Linked DNA regions of Diceros bicornis minor. The protein of the gene in region 2 interacts with the protein of the main gene of each other region in a pairwise test. Links are inferred from orthologs where the notes say so. Each region holds a gene or a part of one and is shown on either strand. Other genes may lie near its edges.

Region 1 (7,646 bases), on a different chromosome or scaffold from region 2:
TTTTTCAGTTATGGTTTTATGATTGCTCCTTTAGGATTGCAGCTTAACTATTTTTCCTTCTTTTCCCTGGCCCTCCCCCATAATCACAGATCCCTGAGCCCCACGGCAGAAATTTACAGTGCCGAGTAGGATGCTCCACAATGCTGAAGGAACAGGGAGAGAGACCACAGGAGCCCCTGAAACATCTGGCTGTCACCAGTTAGGGCATCATTCAGATCTCTTTGGCAAAGACTAAAATTCTCTCCTCCCCTCGCCCTCAACCTCCATGGAGGTGCTTCAGACAAACCTCTTATTTTCTCGCTCTTTTCTCAGGATGATTTCCTCCAGCGCACTTAATCCATCATAATGTCTGGAGCTGGCACAAGAAAATAGAAGTGGGACTAAGGAACCAAAAGTTCCTATCTCCAAAGTTTAAAATGAAAACAAAAGCAAGCCAGAACTGCTGGTCTCCCTAAGACAAATACAGGGGTGGGGTTACAGGGTGTTAAGGGGTAAAAATTACACTTGCCCGTTTCTGGTACCACCAACAAATCTAAAACAAGTCAGCTTCTACACAGTTTCAGAGCCAATGATGGAATTTTTCCATCACCAGAAAACAACTTTTCCAGCATTGGAAGACAAGTTTGGACACACTTCAATATTCCCCAGAAAAAGGCTCAGAAAAATTGAGTGATTTGCCTGAGATCACACAGCAAATCAAATTGCAATAGCCCCCAAGTTCACACCTGGTTCTGAAGTCCCTACTCTGTAAAAATGTGATAAAGTGGACAGAGATAAACAGGAAAAGGCCCTGTTTGTTGTTATATCTACCCCAACCAGAATGAGGGTGTCACCAAAAAGAAAAAAAAAGAGAGAGAGAGAGATGATATCAGAAGGTGGAGATGAACGAGTTTCTCAAAGCAGCTTTGTCTTCAGAGACAAAGACACCAGAGTCCCCACACCACACCACAACCAGCCTACCTTCCCTCATGAAGACAGACGGGGGAAACAAATGGAATCGACAGTTCCCAGTGCCAGCCTGAGCTGGAGAGTGGGGGGGTTTCCAAGGCTGCTTCTCACGGACTCAGAGTGAGGATCCCACCTGGTCAAGGAATCAGGGTTTGCTGGCCAGACTCATCTGGATCAGCTCAGAATGCAGCCGAAGTCTGCAGCAAAAGGCTGGTCCCCTCCCCACGTCAGCATTAAGAGCACCCCTTTCTCTTGACCATCTCATTTAAAACAGGAACCACACCTCCTGACCACACAGGGCGGGCTCAGAGGCAACAGCTGGGCACCAACGACTCCCTATGCCTGACTCAAGTGCAAGCTTCCTAAGCAGAGCTACCCCACGAAACTCATCTTTAGACCCAGGCTAGCCCCAAACCTCTGAAAGGGGCAGCAGCAGAACCAGAAGTCAGATTCAATTTTGAAAAGTACACCCAAGGAGCTAGCTATCCCCCGTCACCCTCCCCAAGGAACACAGACAGGTAACACACACAGGTAAGAGCACACTCACCTGCGCTCTGACTTCCTGACTCTGAGCTGCTCAGGCCAAACGAGGAATGTCATTGGCTTATTCGGGTTAGCTCCTTAGTGGCTGCTGCCATAGGATACAGGCTTTTTTTAACGGAGTCCTCTCGCTCCCCTAGCCCAGAACTTGCACCCTCTCCGGAGAAAATCTCCCCAAGGCATCAATCTCCAAGGCATCTAAGTTCCTTCCTTGGGCTGACATCTCGCTCAGCCCCGTGGCGAGCCGGCTTGAGAAGCCCGAGCCTGCAGTCCCTGTGGCAGCTCCAGCAAAGGTGCATTATTTATGTTGGTGCTGTTTTAATTAATAGAGAGATACAGTCAATACAGCTCAACGATAGTCTCAGCAACCTCAGGCCGGAAAATAAAGGACTCCCAGCCGCACATGATTGGCTCTTTCAGATTCTGGTTCTAACTGCTGCCTCAGCCTGTGTGCAACTTGACCGAGGCCCCAAACCAGGCCAAGCACGGCTTGGCCACCTGTCAGTTCTCCACCCTGGGGGGTTGGTTGAGCAGGCAGGCCTCGATCTCCAAGCACTAGCTTAACCTCTGGCTCCACCTAACGGCAAGAAATCCACAGTCCCCTTTCACAGATGGACAAACTGAGCTTCATCCAGGAAGGTCTCAAAAGGAGGCAACTATTCGGCAAAGGAAACTAATGGTCCTCTGCTTGGCCTCGCAGGCAGCACTTTTCTTACCCTGCCATCTTACAGGAGGGAAAGTGATGTCAACTTTTCAGTTAGCATCTTGGGTTTCTCCAGCCCTTTGTCTGCGAATAGCACTTCACACACATTATTCAAACAATGTCGAATGGGTGAGTCACTAGAACGTCTGCTGAATAATGAAGAACAAACACAGAGGCCTGAAATGGAGCTGAAAGACAGAGGCACAAATGGTACCTGACGTCCAGCCCAGGCTTCTTGCCCAACATCCGTCATCCTCTCTGACCTTTGCCTGGCTTCCCCATCACTTTTATCCTGTTAAAGCACTTCTGCGTGGGGCGGGGAAAGCTAAGTCGCCGACTGGGCTTGGCAGGGGAAGGTCTGCGCTCACCTTTAAATCAGGAGGCTTGCTTCGAGGACCTGGGTTGGGCGCCGCGGCAGCGCCCACATCTGAAGTTGGCCCGCCAGCGGAGTTAGCACCCGCGGCCTCCCCAGGCCGGAGGTCTGCGCCCGGCAGGTGGCAAGCGACATCTTCCAGCCCAGCTCCATCCTCCTCGCCCTGCTGTTGCTGCAGCTCGTCCGATTTGCACCTCTTCATGGTGTATGTGGGTCGGCAAGGGGAATCTGTCCTTCCAGCGCGCCGTCTTGAGCTAGACCGCACCCCCTCTTACACTCAGAAACGAGGCCCGGGATCTAAATTATGATCGAGGAGTCGGCGGATCACAATTTCTTGAATTAAAAAATAAATATTTTTAAAGGAGGGTGAGGGAGGGGCGAGGAGGGGGAGCCTTGGTTACAGCTTAGAAGAGTTCGTTACCACCTGGGGAGCCGAGGCAGGTCACAGTAGAGACTGGGCAGCAGGAGTCCTTGGGCAGTCATTGGAGCGCGAGGAGGAAAACAGCCCCCGGCCCCCAAACTTTCTGCTCCAGGGCATGCGCAGGGCGAAGGGGAGCTGGGCGGCAGAGAGCATCCATCCCGGCTGGCCGGGCTGCTGAGAGAGGCAGGGCATGGGGCAGCCGGCTGGGCAGGTCCTTTTCGGCCGCCCTCGGCGCCGGCTGCGGCCCCCGGCCCTGCCGCTGGCCTCCGCCCCTCATGGGCTGGCCGCGGAGCCCGCAGCGCGCCCCGCGCCCTCCCCCCCGCGCGCGCCCTCCCCCCCGCGCGCGCCCTGCTCCCCTACCGCCGCGCCGCCTGCTGCAAAGCCGCGGCCGCGGCCCGAGCCAGCGGCGAGCGCGCAACCTACCCCGCCCGGTGCCTCCGCCCGCCAGGGGGAAGGCGAGGCAAGGAGAGAGTGACAACTGCAACGGGCCAATGGGAAGCCCAGAGGGCTGAGGGGGCGTCGCGCGGCCACGTTTTTAGGGTTGGTTGCACTGTGCAATACCCCAGGAGAGGTCTGGAGGGCTTTGATGTTGCTGGTGCGTTTTGCCGTTGCAGAGAGCGGACTGCGGAGTAGAAGTGGGGGCGGCGGGCCACCGGAGATGCGGCCCTAGCACATGCGTGAGGGATCCTCCCAGGAGAGACTCCCTCGGGATTTCCCCCACCCACCCGTTGTATTTGGCTGGGAGAGGGCGCAGTACGGGATGCTCGTCATCACTGCTTTTTTGCCCTAACTTCACGTTATGTTTCATATCCCTTCAATGAGGAAGACACTGATCCCCTCTAGCATACCTGGTCTGAAACACAAACCTAAGCCTACATTCAGAGCCAAAGGAAACGGGGTGTTCTGCCTCATCGCCCCTTCCCTCGCTTTAAGTAATTATCTCACGTTGAGTGTTAGCTTTATGCTCAGAAATGATAACGTATTTCATATTGGAACACAGTAATGTGTGTGCGAGTTCCTTGCAAACTGTGAAGCAGCTTTTAAATAAGAAGGGGTATTAATGGCAGGAGGTTGAAACACATGGAAGAGAAGGAAAGGAATGCAATCTCTTTTTCCCATAAATCTCAGCCAAACTGAGCGGAGTAATCTGGAGGCAGAAGAGAGCAAATATTGGGGGTTACCAAGATATGGAGCCTAGTAATAATAACCCCATTTGAGTGCCTGCTGTGTGCTTACTGTGGATACGATGGTTTTGCCCATCCCGCAGCCTGGACCAGTGATTCTCAAAATATAGTCCTGGGACCAGCAGCTTCAGCGTCACCTGGAAACGTGACAGAAATGCAAATTATTGGACACCAGCCAGACCTACTGAATCAGAAACAGTGGGGCCAGAAATCTGTTTTAATAGGCCTTCCAGGTAATTCTGATGCAAGCTAATATTTGAGAACCATTGCCCTAGACTGTAGTGAAGGGGCCACTCAGTCTGTGAGTCACAGTGATGATCTCTAAAGGATTTTACAGTTTACCAATCTCTTTTACACTCATCATGCCATTGTAGCTTCAGTTCAGTCCTACTAGTCTGAGTTTCCTGACTCTGTTCTGTCTTCTTCCCATCCCAACCACTCATTTTAATGTGTATCCTAGAAGAGTCTAAGTTGTTAGGAATTTATTTCAGTCAAGCAGTTTTCTAAACTAGGCAGCTCCATTTTTAGAAGATAGGAATTTACGATGGGCTGGGAATGTAAAACCACCTCTTACATCCACTACACAGTATCAGGCACAATGTGGAAACACAAAGCTACAAGCCTTTAGCATTTTCAATGGGGAGGGAAAGGCAGAATGCCAGTGAAAACCGTGGCAGGACTAGACAGAACCAGTAGGGGCACATTCCATGGCACAAGATGTCAGGCAGAGGATCTACTGATCCCTGCCTGACTTGCCCCAGAGAAGTGCATGGGCCTGACAGACCCTGGGCAAGTCTTGGGCGGAAAGCAGTGGCCAGCAAGTGGTGAGCACATGTAGATACGTGTTCATCACCTGACTCTAAGCTGAAGAAAAGCGGAGGGAGATGGTGTGAAGCTTTAAGGAAGCAGAGACCATTATCATTTTGAATTATGCCTCATTTCTATACTAGGTTGAAGTTGGTCTTAAGTTTTTTATATTATCATATACACATAACATGATGGCCAAATTTCCCACTTATGGCCATATTTAGCAGGGTGTAATGCAGGTCAACAAAAAAGTCTCTGATGTGTTTCATGAAATCAGCTAATACCTTACATTCTGTTTTGGAGAGGCAGTGTAGCATAGTGGTTAGGAGCTCAGACTCTGTGGCCAGACTGCTTGGGGACAGATCCTGGCTCTGCTCTCCACTGACCATGGGACTGGGGGCAAATTATCTAACCTCTTTATGCCCCAGGTCCTCATTTGAAAGTGGGGATACTGACAATACCTACCTTAGGGAGTTTGGGGTAATTTTTGTAAGCACTTGGACCTTGCCTGGCATAGAGTGGGGGCCATAGCTATCATCAGAGAGGTCACCCAGTTTCAAAAGGGTTGCACACTCCACTCCCATGGTTGTATCCTTGGGAGTTCAAATGTGTCTCAGCCATTTCTGACTTTCTCTGAGTGTCATATTGTAGAACAAATACGCTACTGCCAAAGAAGTTTGGGTGGAAAGTCTGTGTAGAGACCTGTGTGACCTACAACTGCCAGTTTGAAGCTGATGGAAAATTTTCATTAGCCATAGTAACTTCTTGAGTGCCTAAGATAAATAGAACTTGGAAGTATTTTGACTGATTGAAATTTTGTTTAAAGGACTGGCTCATTCTGTTGTTCTAGGCTTCTTTGGGAAAATATAGGCATACATGTTTTGATGTTCAAGATAAGAAAAATTTGCAGATTTACAAGGCAAGAGATTATATTTTGGATGTAGGAGTAGCATTTTCCATTCTGCTTTGGCACAACTAGTTAATTACATGTAAATAACATGGTCTAGAGGGAAGAACAGTGGTGTTTGTGTTAGAAAATCCACGTAAGAATCTGGTTCTGTCACTCCCTGTGTGTTCTTGGGCAACCATATCACTTACCTTCTCTCACCCTTGGTTTTTCTCATCTATGAATAGGGGCTAATAATATCTATCCTCACATGGGGTTATTGTAGGGATTAATCTAGATAACGCATGTGAAAACACTTAACACATAGTGTGTGCTCAGTAAACCTGAATAAAACAAAAGTAATTCACAAAGTTGGCCAAGCCCCCTGTCTACCACATGAGAAAGGCAGAACTATCCCTCTAAGCTTAATGTTCTTTGTGAAAGGAAATCCCAGTTAGGCTAATGAACGGGGGTGCTCCTGGTAGATTCAAATTTGCTACACCAGTAAGTGTATAAACAAGGAGATTAAAGAACAGGGTTATGGAATCCTGTTTCCTTGTCAACAGCCAGTTCATTTAGCTTTATAAACTGATGAAGCTTTAATTATAAAGGATAATGTGCCAAGAGCAACAGGTAAGCATAGAGTAGGGTTTTTTTTCTTTTTGTAAAAGTAATTAAGTCTGAGAAATGAAAGGCTTTTTTGCCAATAGCACAAGGCTTGTAGATTATCCAAGAAAATTCTGCTTCCTATTCAGTAGGAATTCTTTAAAAAAACATTTTAAACATCAAATGGGTAGGTAGTTGTCAGAGAGTTATTTTAAGATTTAATATACTAAGTAGAGCGCTTTACTTAGAAGGTAAAGTACTCTCTAGAGAGATTGGATATAATAATTTTTATCGCTGTATTTTGATACCAACGTCATTACAAACATTCCTTTGTTAATGTAATTTTCTTCTCTTTCTTTTGGAGATTTCCACTTCCACTCAGGGCTCTCCTTAAAGGAAATTGGGCTCCGTTGGATTAGGCATAAACTATGCAAATAATCATCAGGGAGATTGGCTGGATTGTTGATGACATCACAATCCCACCACCTAAGTACAGGCTTCTCATTGGCTGTTGTAAGAAGCAGGCAGGATCAGCAAGGCTCTGCATCACTCTGAGTTGGAGAAAGCTCTGAGTCTAAACTAAATTTTGTCCTGTTTTTTATTTAAAATGTACTCAGAAGCATTTTCCATATGTTATTGCATTTTTCTATGTTGTTTCATATACTATCACTTAGACATATGTCTATATTACTATATGTCTAACTAAACATTTTAAATGACTGCTTACCATTTATATATCATGGTTTATTTAACCACTATCCACCTTATTCTTACTTAGTTGTTTTAATTCTTGCCTTCAGAAATAAAATTGTAATTACTATATTTACTCAGAAATTGTATATATTATTTCCTGCATAGCATAGAATCTCTGATACCTAACTGGCAATGTTTTAAAGGAATAAACAAACCAAACAGATTGCCACTCTTGTGACCATTTCTCTCACAGCATCCCTAAGACCTGCATGGGAGATTCCAGTGCCTGTTTCATTTCTGGGACTGGTGAAGCTCCTATCTATAGCACAAAAAGCTGGAAGTTCCTCCTTCTCATTTTAGGTAGGATGCATATTCTTCATTCTGGGTGCCTGTTGCTCCTCAGTAATGGAGAAAAGTGGCAATAACCACGGCCATGAACAGAGAAGGCTTGTGAAGCATAAACTTAAACCCTGATTGTACGGCTC
Region 2 (8,191 bases):
TCAAAAAACACAACTAGAAGAATAAAAAGACAAACCATAGACTGGGAGATAACTTTTTTGCAAAACTCATATCTGATAAAAGATTGTATCCAGAATATACAGGAAACTCTCAAAACTCAATAATAAGAAAAAAAATGAGTAAAGGATTTAAACAGACATGTCACCAAAGAATATAAACAGAAGGCAAATAAGCAGTGCCAGGACTAGGTGGAGGCAAAGGCAGCCCCCGTACTGCTCTACACTTGGACTTGCACCTGAGAAGAAATGCCTCCTGAAATTCTGGACCTGCTTGCCTCAATTGCCTCACTCTAGTCCCGGCCCTGAGAACAAGCACATGAAACGACGCTCAATATCATTAGTCATTAGAGAACGCAACTTCAAATCACAACGAGAGTCCGCTACACACCTATAAGAATAGTTAAAATATTTTTTTTAGGCCAACAATACCAAGTGCTGGTGAGCGTGAAGACAAGTGGAGCTCTTATACCCTGATAGTGGAAATGAAAATTGGTACAACATTGGGATAATTGTTTTCTTATAAAATTAAACATACATTATTTTATGTATGTTTACATAAAATGGGTCATACATTATCATATGACCCAGCAATCTGTGTCCTTTACCCAAGTGGCATGAAAAACTACATTCACAGAAAACCTGTACACAGAGGCTTATAAAGGCTTTGTTCTTAATCACTCAAGACTGGAAACAACACAAATGTTTCTTAGTTGAGGAATGGATATGTTACTGAACGCAAACACAGGTTTTTTTTACCAGCCACACAAGAGAGCCAAACAAAACCTGGAACGCCAGGCTTACGGCAAGGAAAGGGGTTTATTTTGGGTGACATCAGCAGGGAGGCCAGAGTCAGCCAGAGTCAGCCCTCAAATTCATCTCCTCGAAAGTTGGGACACAAGGGTTTTTAAAGGTTGTGAGGAATGCAGCAGCTTGTAGGGAGCAGGAGCCTGTGGCCTTGCTGGTTGGTACTCTCCCTCCAGCCTACATTTGGCCTTGTGAGGCTGCTTGCAGTGGGGAGGATGGCAAGATAAGGGAATCCAGAGGTGGGTGTCCTTGGTTGTCTGCCTCCATGATGGGTGATGGATTCTGGCACCCGGAAGCTGACCACCTGGGGTCTGGGAAGCTTCAGCTTCTTGATATACTCTGGATATCAGTTTCCCTGTAACAAACCTCAAGAACCCATAATTAGCCAAAACTTCAGTGTGAGCCCAGAGTGAGGCCACCTGGGCTTTTAACAATTTGTAACTTCTACTTACTGTGGTAGTGTGTGTGGGGTGGGGTGGGGTGGATACAAAGCTTAAAGAAACCAATATTTACATATGAATGTAACTAGAGAAGCAGGGAAGGGGATGGGTGTTTTGGGTTTTAACCCCATATATGCCGGGTTTAACGTAGGGGAACAGATATCAGGGCCAGCATCAGATACACATACTATTTTTACATTTATAAAATGGAATACTACTCACCAATAGAAAGGAATAAACTATTGATACACATAACAACATAGATGAATCTCAAATCAATTATGCTAAGTGAAGAAGCCAATTCTAAAGGCATGATTCAATTAAGTGAAAAAGCAAAGTTGTTGGTTCACAACCTTTAGAGTTCCTTGGGTGAAATCTGAAACTGCACCCTGTACATGGAGGGCAAGGAGAGTCTGAAGAAAGAGGCAAACCACTCTAGACTCGTAGGTGGCAGGTTTACTAAGCAAGGGGACTTACTATGAGGCTTGTCTTCCACAGCTGCGAGACAATAGATCTCTGCACCCACCCACCAGAATCTTGAGTTTATACAGAGGCCTTAACTGGGTTCAGCCACATATACAGTTCAGATGGTCTCAATAACACATTACTCTCTCAAGGCTCAGTCCTTGAAGCCCATCCTAGTACAGGAACAGTGGGTAGAAGGTACCCACATTCCCAGGACAAGGGAGGGGGTAAGGAGCCTCCCACTGCCCCACCCAGTTCATGGGTGAACCAGCAGTCACGTCCTCTGGATGACCTCCTCCAACAAAAGCACAGACCAGTATGTGCAATGTTACAGGTACAACTACGTATTTGTACACGCATAGAATACCTCTAGAAGGTAACTTTTTCTTTTTTTTTTTTTTTTTTTTTTGTGAGGAGATCAGCCCTGAGCTAACATCCGCCAATCCTCCTCTTTTTTTTGCTGAGGAAGACGGCCCTGGGCTAACATCGGTGCCCATCTTCCTCCACTTTATATGGGACGCCGCCACAGCATGGCCTACCAAGCAGTGCGTCGGTGCGCGCCCGGGATCCGAACCAGCAAACCCCGGGCCGCCGCAGCGGAGCGCGCGCACTTAACCGCTTGCGCCACCGGGCCGGCCCCGGTAACTTTTTCTTTTTATGTATTGTCTATCCAAACTTAAATGTTTTAATCTTAAAAAAATTGTTTAAAAAGAAAAAAGTCTCTATTATGATTGCATACAAAAAAAGTCCCCCTTTCACCTACCATGCATAATTTCATTGCTATATCTAGAATGTTCTAGATATCTAGTGTAAGTAGTAAGACGGGGATCCAGTTTTGCCTTCTACCAAATAGACCTGCTAAGTTTTTTAAGAGGCACAGCGAAGACCGTGGGTGGAGAGGAGTGAGAATGCCAGTGAAGAAGGTCGGAAAGCCCTCTGTTTACTCAAGACTGAAAATGCTCACCATGGATGGCTAAAGGTTTTCTAATGCCAGATCTGGGTTACACACACAGATGGTCTTGCTTCTGCACTATTACTGTGATAAGCATTCGGAGTGAGCGGTCCTCCAGGTACACCTCCTAGCTTGATGCTGTGGCTTCTGAATCCCAAATCAGAGAAAAGGAGACAGAAAAGGAACCAAGAAAGATGGGATGCTTTGCACGGTTTTTTTAAAGTAAAGGTGGAACACTCTCGAGCGGTCAAGCAGTCCCCAGAGCCCAGGGGATCAGCGCCCCGCACGGAGTCCTCGGAGTCTAGCGCCGCAGTCACTGGCTCAAGGCCGGTCTAAGCCTCGGGCCAGGAGAGGGCAGCCAGAACCTGTCCTCCTACCTGACTAAGAAACGCAGCTACTCGGGTCGAAGCGGTTTCTCCGGCTCTTAGGAAGCAGCGTCCCACTCGCCGGATTCTCTGTTGCCGGCCGTATCCTAGCAACGGCCCTGACGCCACCTCCTCCCAACCCGGCACAGCGGCCGCGAGAAGGGGCGGGGCCCGCGCTGAAAAGGAGCACGGCGGAGGGGAGGGGCGGAGCCGGGGGGCGAGGGCGGGGAGAAGAAAGGAGACAGAGGAGGGCGGGGCGAAGAAATGAGGCAGAGGAGGGCGGGGAGAGGTGGCGGAGAAGGTAGTACCTGCCTCTTACCTCGATTGGCAAGTGAATCGGTAGCTAACCACTTACCAAGATCCCTTTTACATTCGTAACAGGGTACGGTTCTCCAAACCAAACACTGATAGCAGTTTGCGCTTGTAGCTATAAAAAGTCAGGATTAGAGAAAATGTGAATACGAAGTAAGAGTTAAGACCTTGACAAAGGAGAACCCAGTTGTACAACAGTAGGTGCCTACTTGCTTTTGCTAAATTTAGAACTTGGCTCTTAGCTTCCTGGCAGCCAAAGAGAAAAGGCAGACAGGAGCTGTTAAATAACTCCTCTTTAAATCACGAGAAGCAAAGCTTTTGTTAATCACTGAATTATAAAGATATTTTTATATCACTATAAATTCTTTAAACTGAGAAGATTTTTAAAGACGCACATATTATTAGGGGAAAGAATCAATTATGTTCCTATTGTAAATGTAGTAGCACACTTTTTGTGGCTTCATAATAATAGCTAACATTTATTATTATTTGTTACTAAGCACTTAACTTATATTTCTAATTTAATCCTTACAGTGATCTTATTAAGGAAGAACTGTGATTAGCCCCATTTTACAAATGAGGAAACTCTCGTTTAGTGGGGTAGCCAGGATTAAACCCAAGCAGTCTGACTCCAGGCCCTCGATTTTAAACCACCATTCTATGCTACTGTGTTTAATTTAACACCCTTTGATATTTAAAAAGGATGTAAGATTAAGTAATAAAATTAAAATTTTTGTTATGTATAATACGGGTCCATTCCTCCTTCATAACGTTCAATGTCTTCACTCCTTTATACCTTTCCCCTGAAATTGCATTCTCATCTCCCCAATAACTTCCTAATGTCCAATGTCATTTTTTCAGTTTTCATTCCATTTTAAAAGACATTTCTTACTAGAACAATGTAAAATTTTTAATGTTCTCAGATAAAATTGGCTTTAATAATGGTTTTTTTAAAAAGCAAATGCATTTAAATGACTTCATGAATCCATATATTCATGGAGAACAGAGAAAAGGGGGAAAAAGGGAATACAGATAACCACTAGGGTTAGTCTTTCACGGGTGAGCCAGGTGTGATTGGAGGTTTACAGACAAGTTCTTCCAAACACTCCCCCACTCCCATCTCCAAAATCATAATGTATCTTAAATTTTACTAGTAATGAGAATTCCATTGGTTTTAAACACTTACTTTTCTGGGTTTCCTCTTTAAAATTTATCATTCACTGTCATCCGTAGTAGGGACTGTAAAAAAACTAGATTTAGGCATAGAGGCAGGAGATGGAGGGAAGAAACCCAGTGGTAGAGAACTTCAAGTACTTCCCAGCATTAAATGTGACTTGATACCCACTATATGTTCACATTTTATTTATAGTTTGCTATGGAGATGATCTTGTACAACTTAGTCTTACAATATGAGCCTAACTTAATTGGTAGGCTTCCCAGGTAGTCTATGCAGGTTGGAAAGGTTATTAACACATCCAAATCACATATGCATACGTTTACACACACAAATATATAGTTGTTTCGTTCTACAAAATCAATGTAAATGCAAGCTGAAAACAACCAATAGGAAAAAGACTCTCAGTTCTGAAAGTAAAAAAGTAATTTTAAAATATCATTTTCCATTTTACTTTTCATGATAAACTTATGCATTTTCTCAGGATTTATTGACCAAAATGACTTATCTTTATTTCTCATGAAACATCTACCTTTATTTATCTCAGCATTTATTTATATAATAAACATTTCTTTTAATGTGCTTTTATTTTTACAAAGATGCCACCTAGTGGCTTTATGAAATCAAGCATTTCAAAATATTTCCCATTGTTACCTCAGGCTAAAATGTATTTTGATATAAATGAATGAATTAGAAAAAAATTAGAAGAATAATGTAGAAAACCAAAGACTTGAAAATTATGCTTTGGAATTATCTATATGGATTAAATTTGTTTTACAATACCTCTGTGAGATCGTTAAGAGACTGGAAATACAGAACCATAGTCTCTTTTCTGAAACCTTAAGGGACAGATGTGTTTGAAATTCAGAATTTTTCAGATTTTTGAAAGGTAATATGGGCATATACTATATATTCTGTAACACCTTCAGTGGATCTGGAGAAGTTGTCCAGAATCAAACACATTAATACTTCTGTGGCAAAATATATCCATATTCACATTAAGTGGGATAAAGACCACAAGTAGCCTTATGTCAATTCAGGTCAGATTTTGCTTCCAAATGAGTTATGAAAAAACTTCCCTTTGCAAACATTTTTGGAGTTTGGAATTTAGATAGGGAATTGTGGACCTGTTTTACCCTGAGAAATAGAATCAACTCTCCTGTTATAGAGAAAAGAGAGTAAAATGAAATATTATCATAAAATAGTAATGTTTATCTTTAGAAATGCCTAAAAGGTTCACCTGAAAAAAAAAAAAGAAAGATCATGAGAAATTCCAAAAAAGAATCTCTGCAATGCTTTTCATTTACAGAGTCATATACAGAAAGAAGCTAATCCACCATAAATTACATTTAAGCACACTCCAAAAACTAGTTGCTAATATAAACCTAAAGATCACTTTGAAAATTCATTATTAGCCATGCATGGCAGCTAAATTTATGAGTTCTATAGCACATTCAAAAAAATTTTTTAACCTCGGTTTTCTGTTTCTTTTTCGTTTCTATGTGTGATTTGCCATGTTCCCTTTCCCCGGCTCCTATCTCTATGGAAGCATGTGTTGAGATGGCACCATCCGCAGCCAGGATCCCTTGTGTGACTCTTCTGAGCACTGCCAACCCTGATTAGACATGTAATATGAATAAGAAACAAACTTTTGTTAAGACTTTGGGATTTAGGGGTAGTCTATGCTAATTCACTACATTCCCTCACTAACTAGAGTTTTGGTTTATTACCTCTAAATAAAGACTTTCAAATAAATTTCTTTAGTCCCCGTCAATAACTCTAATCCCATATCACATTCCCAGTTTGATTTCTTGTAAATTCTATTTAAAATAAACTTCATCCTCCTCTAAACTAGACTTCTATCTTCTCATTTACTTTTTTCCCCAAAAGTATTACTGTTATTGTAGCATAGGCTGCAATCCCATTGAGTACTGAATTTTAAAGGAAATTCTGCTCTCAGATGCAAATTACTCATGGTATGTTCAGTGAATTGGTTCAGTGACTCTACTTTACCCTAGACCCCTGAACACACTTGCACAGGAGGTTTCTTCAACTTCTGTTTATATAACCATGGAGGCTGGGAAGAAAAAAAGGCTATTAGCCTATATGTGGGAATTTTCTTATATAGAATATTGCTGATTTTCTCCTTTTGAAAGAGAAAACGTGAGGGTAGCATCTGCCTTCTGGTGATTAAGAGGCCTGATATAGATAACTGGGGAAATGGCACACAAGCTCTGAAGTCCTCTCTGCAGTAGGAGAACACGTAAGCAAGGTCCTGCAAGACCTCAAGATCTTGGCTTCTGAGAATAGTGAAACTGATCTCTCAGACTTTATGGGAGAGTTCCTAAATAAACAGAACATAGACGATCTGGAATATCGTCTTGGCTGTCAAAGGACTTAGAAGAGCTGGCCTAGCGGGAAGGCCTGTTTGAAAAGCCTGCTGAAGCATCAGGTAAAGAGACTTAACTTCTGAAAGCAACACAGCAAGTCTTCCCATCGCAGTGGTCCCAAAGCCAGCTGCTTAAGATTCCTGATCTTCTCCATTTGACAGAAGACCGCTTTCCTTTTTATCTAGTATCCTAATCCTCATTGTTGTGTGCGCAAATAAATCTGCTTTGCATTGTAACAACAAAAAGCTCCATTAGCTTCACTTTTACTGCTCTTTAAGATTAGAAAAGGAAATAAGACAAAAGTAAGCTCCTTTTCTTCCATCCTCCAATGCTGAGGGAAAGGTGGGGGTGGAATAATGGAGAAGGAAAGGACACAATGAAACCTGAGGCCTGGTGGCACATGATGGCTGCCACTGCTGCATCATATTCTATTCAGATGACAGACTACTTCTTTTGCCTAGGACAGTCATGGTTTATACCTGTTATCCTTATGAAATTATTAATACCTTTCACTCTCAAAATCATTACAGGTTGAATGAAAAATTATAGGGTTATCCTAGATATAAGCCATTTTCATTCTAAAAGAATGCCCATAAATTTCAATATTCTGCACTCAGTCCACAGACAGGAGAAAGAGGGCATCAAATTTGGGGCCATTTTCTTGTTTGCAAAGCTCAAATTGATTAGCTTCTTTTTCTTTTGAAGTTTCTTTCAGTTTCTTTTCTTTTCTTTTGGAATACAGTGATTAAGTTGAATGAAACAAATGAAGAGCCTAGGAAGAATTGAAATGAGCCATTCTGAAAATTACTCAAATTAGTCTAGAAGCCATTCAGCAACACTGAAGATCTTTAAATAGAAGAATCATCTGCAAAGTGATCAGGGAAGCTTAATCTGGAAGTTTACAGGACACAACAGGAAAACATTTGAAGGAGTGAAAACATTTGAAGGAGTAAAAACAATCAGGTGTAAGGTTGTACGGGCAGTAGGAATGGCAGTAAACGTAAAAGAATGCTGGACCACATCGCAATGCCTTTTAGATACCTACCCCATTAACATTACCTGCCTGTGACCCATATGAGGATTTTTGCACAAAATGAAATCCTATATACTACTTCTGTTCACATTTGTTCTTTACAGGTACTTTGACAGAAAAAATCAAGAAGGCACGATCTAGGTTCTTTAGGTGCAGCCCATACAGTTCAGGCAGGAGTGACAGCATCCTAAGCATATTCAGAAAGAATATAATCAGGGGCATGAGTTCGGGGGCAAGA

Evidence for each region.
Region 1: the proteins of IQUB (region 2) and TMCC2 interact in a two-hybrid assay, tested with the Homo sapiens proteins (2 studies listed by BioGRID and IntAct). The two-hybrid records come from large-scale screens. The link is inferred for Diceros bicornis minor from reciprocal best matches to the Homo sapiens genes IQUB and TMCC2.

Annotation. Positions count from the first base shown.
Region 1 is NC_080743.1:100,626,705-100,634,350, forward strand, and holds the start of TMCC2 (transmembrane and coiled-coil domains protein 2), read right to left. Parts: upstream 3,232-7,646; 5' UTR 2,767-3,231; coding exon 2,560-2,766; intron 1,802-2,559; exon of another isoform or gene 1,496-1,801; intron 1-1,495.
Region 2 is NC_080742.1:73,359,652-73,367,842, forward strand, and holds the start of IQUB (IQ and ubiquitin-like domain-containing protein), read right to left. Parts: upstream 3,149-8,191; 5' UTR 3,057-3,148; intron 1-3,056. UniProt on the Homo sapiens protein: Adapter protein that anchors the radial spoke 1 (RS1) complex to the A microtubule of outer doublet microtubules in axonemes. The triple radial spokes (RS1, RS2 and RS3) are required to modulate beating of the sperm flagellum.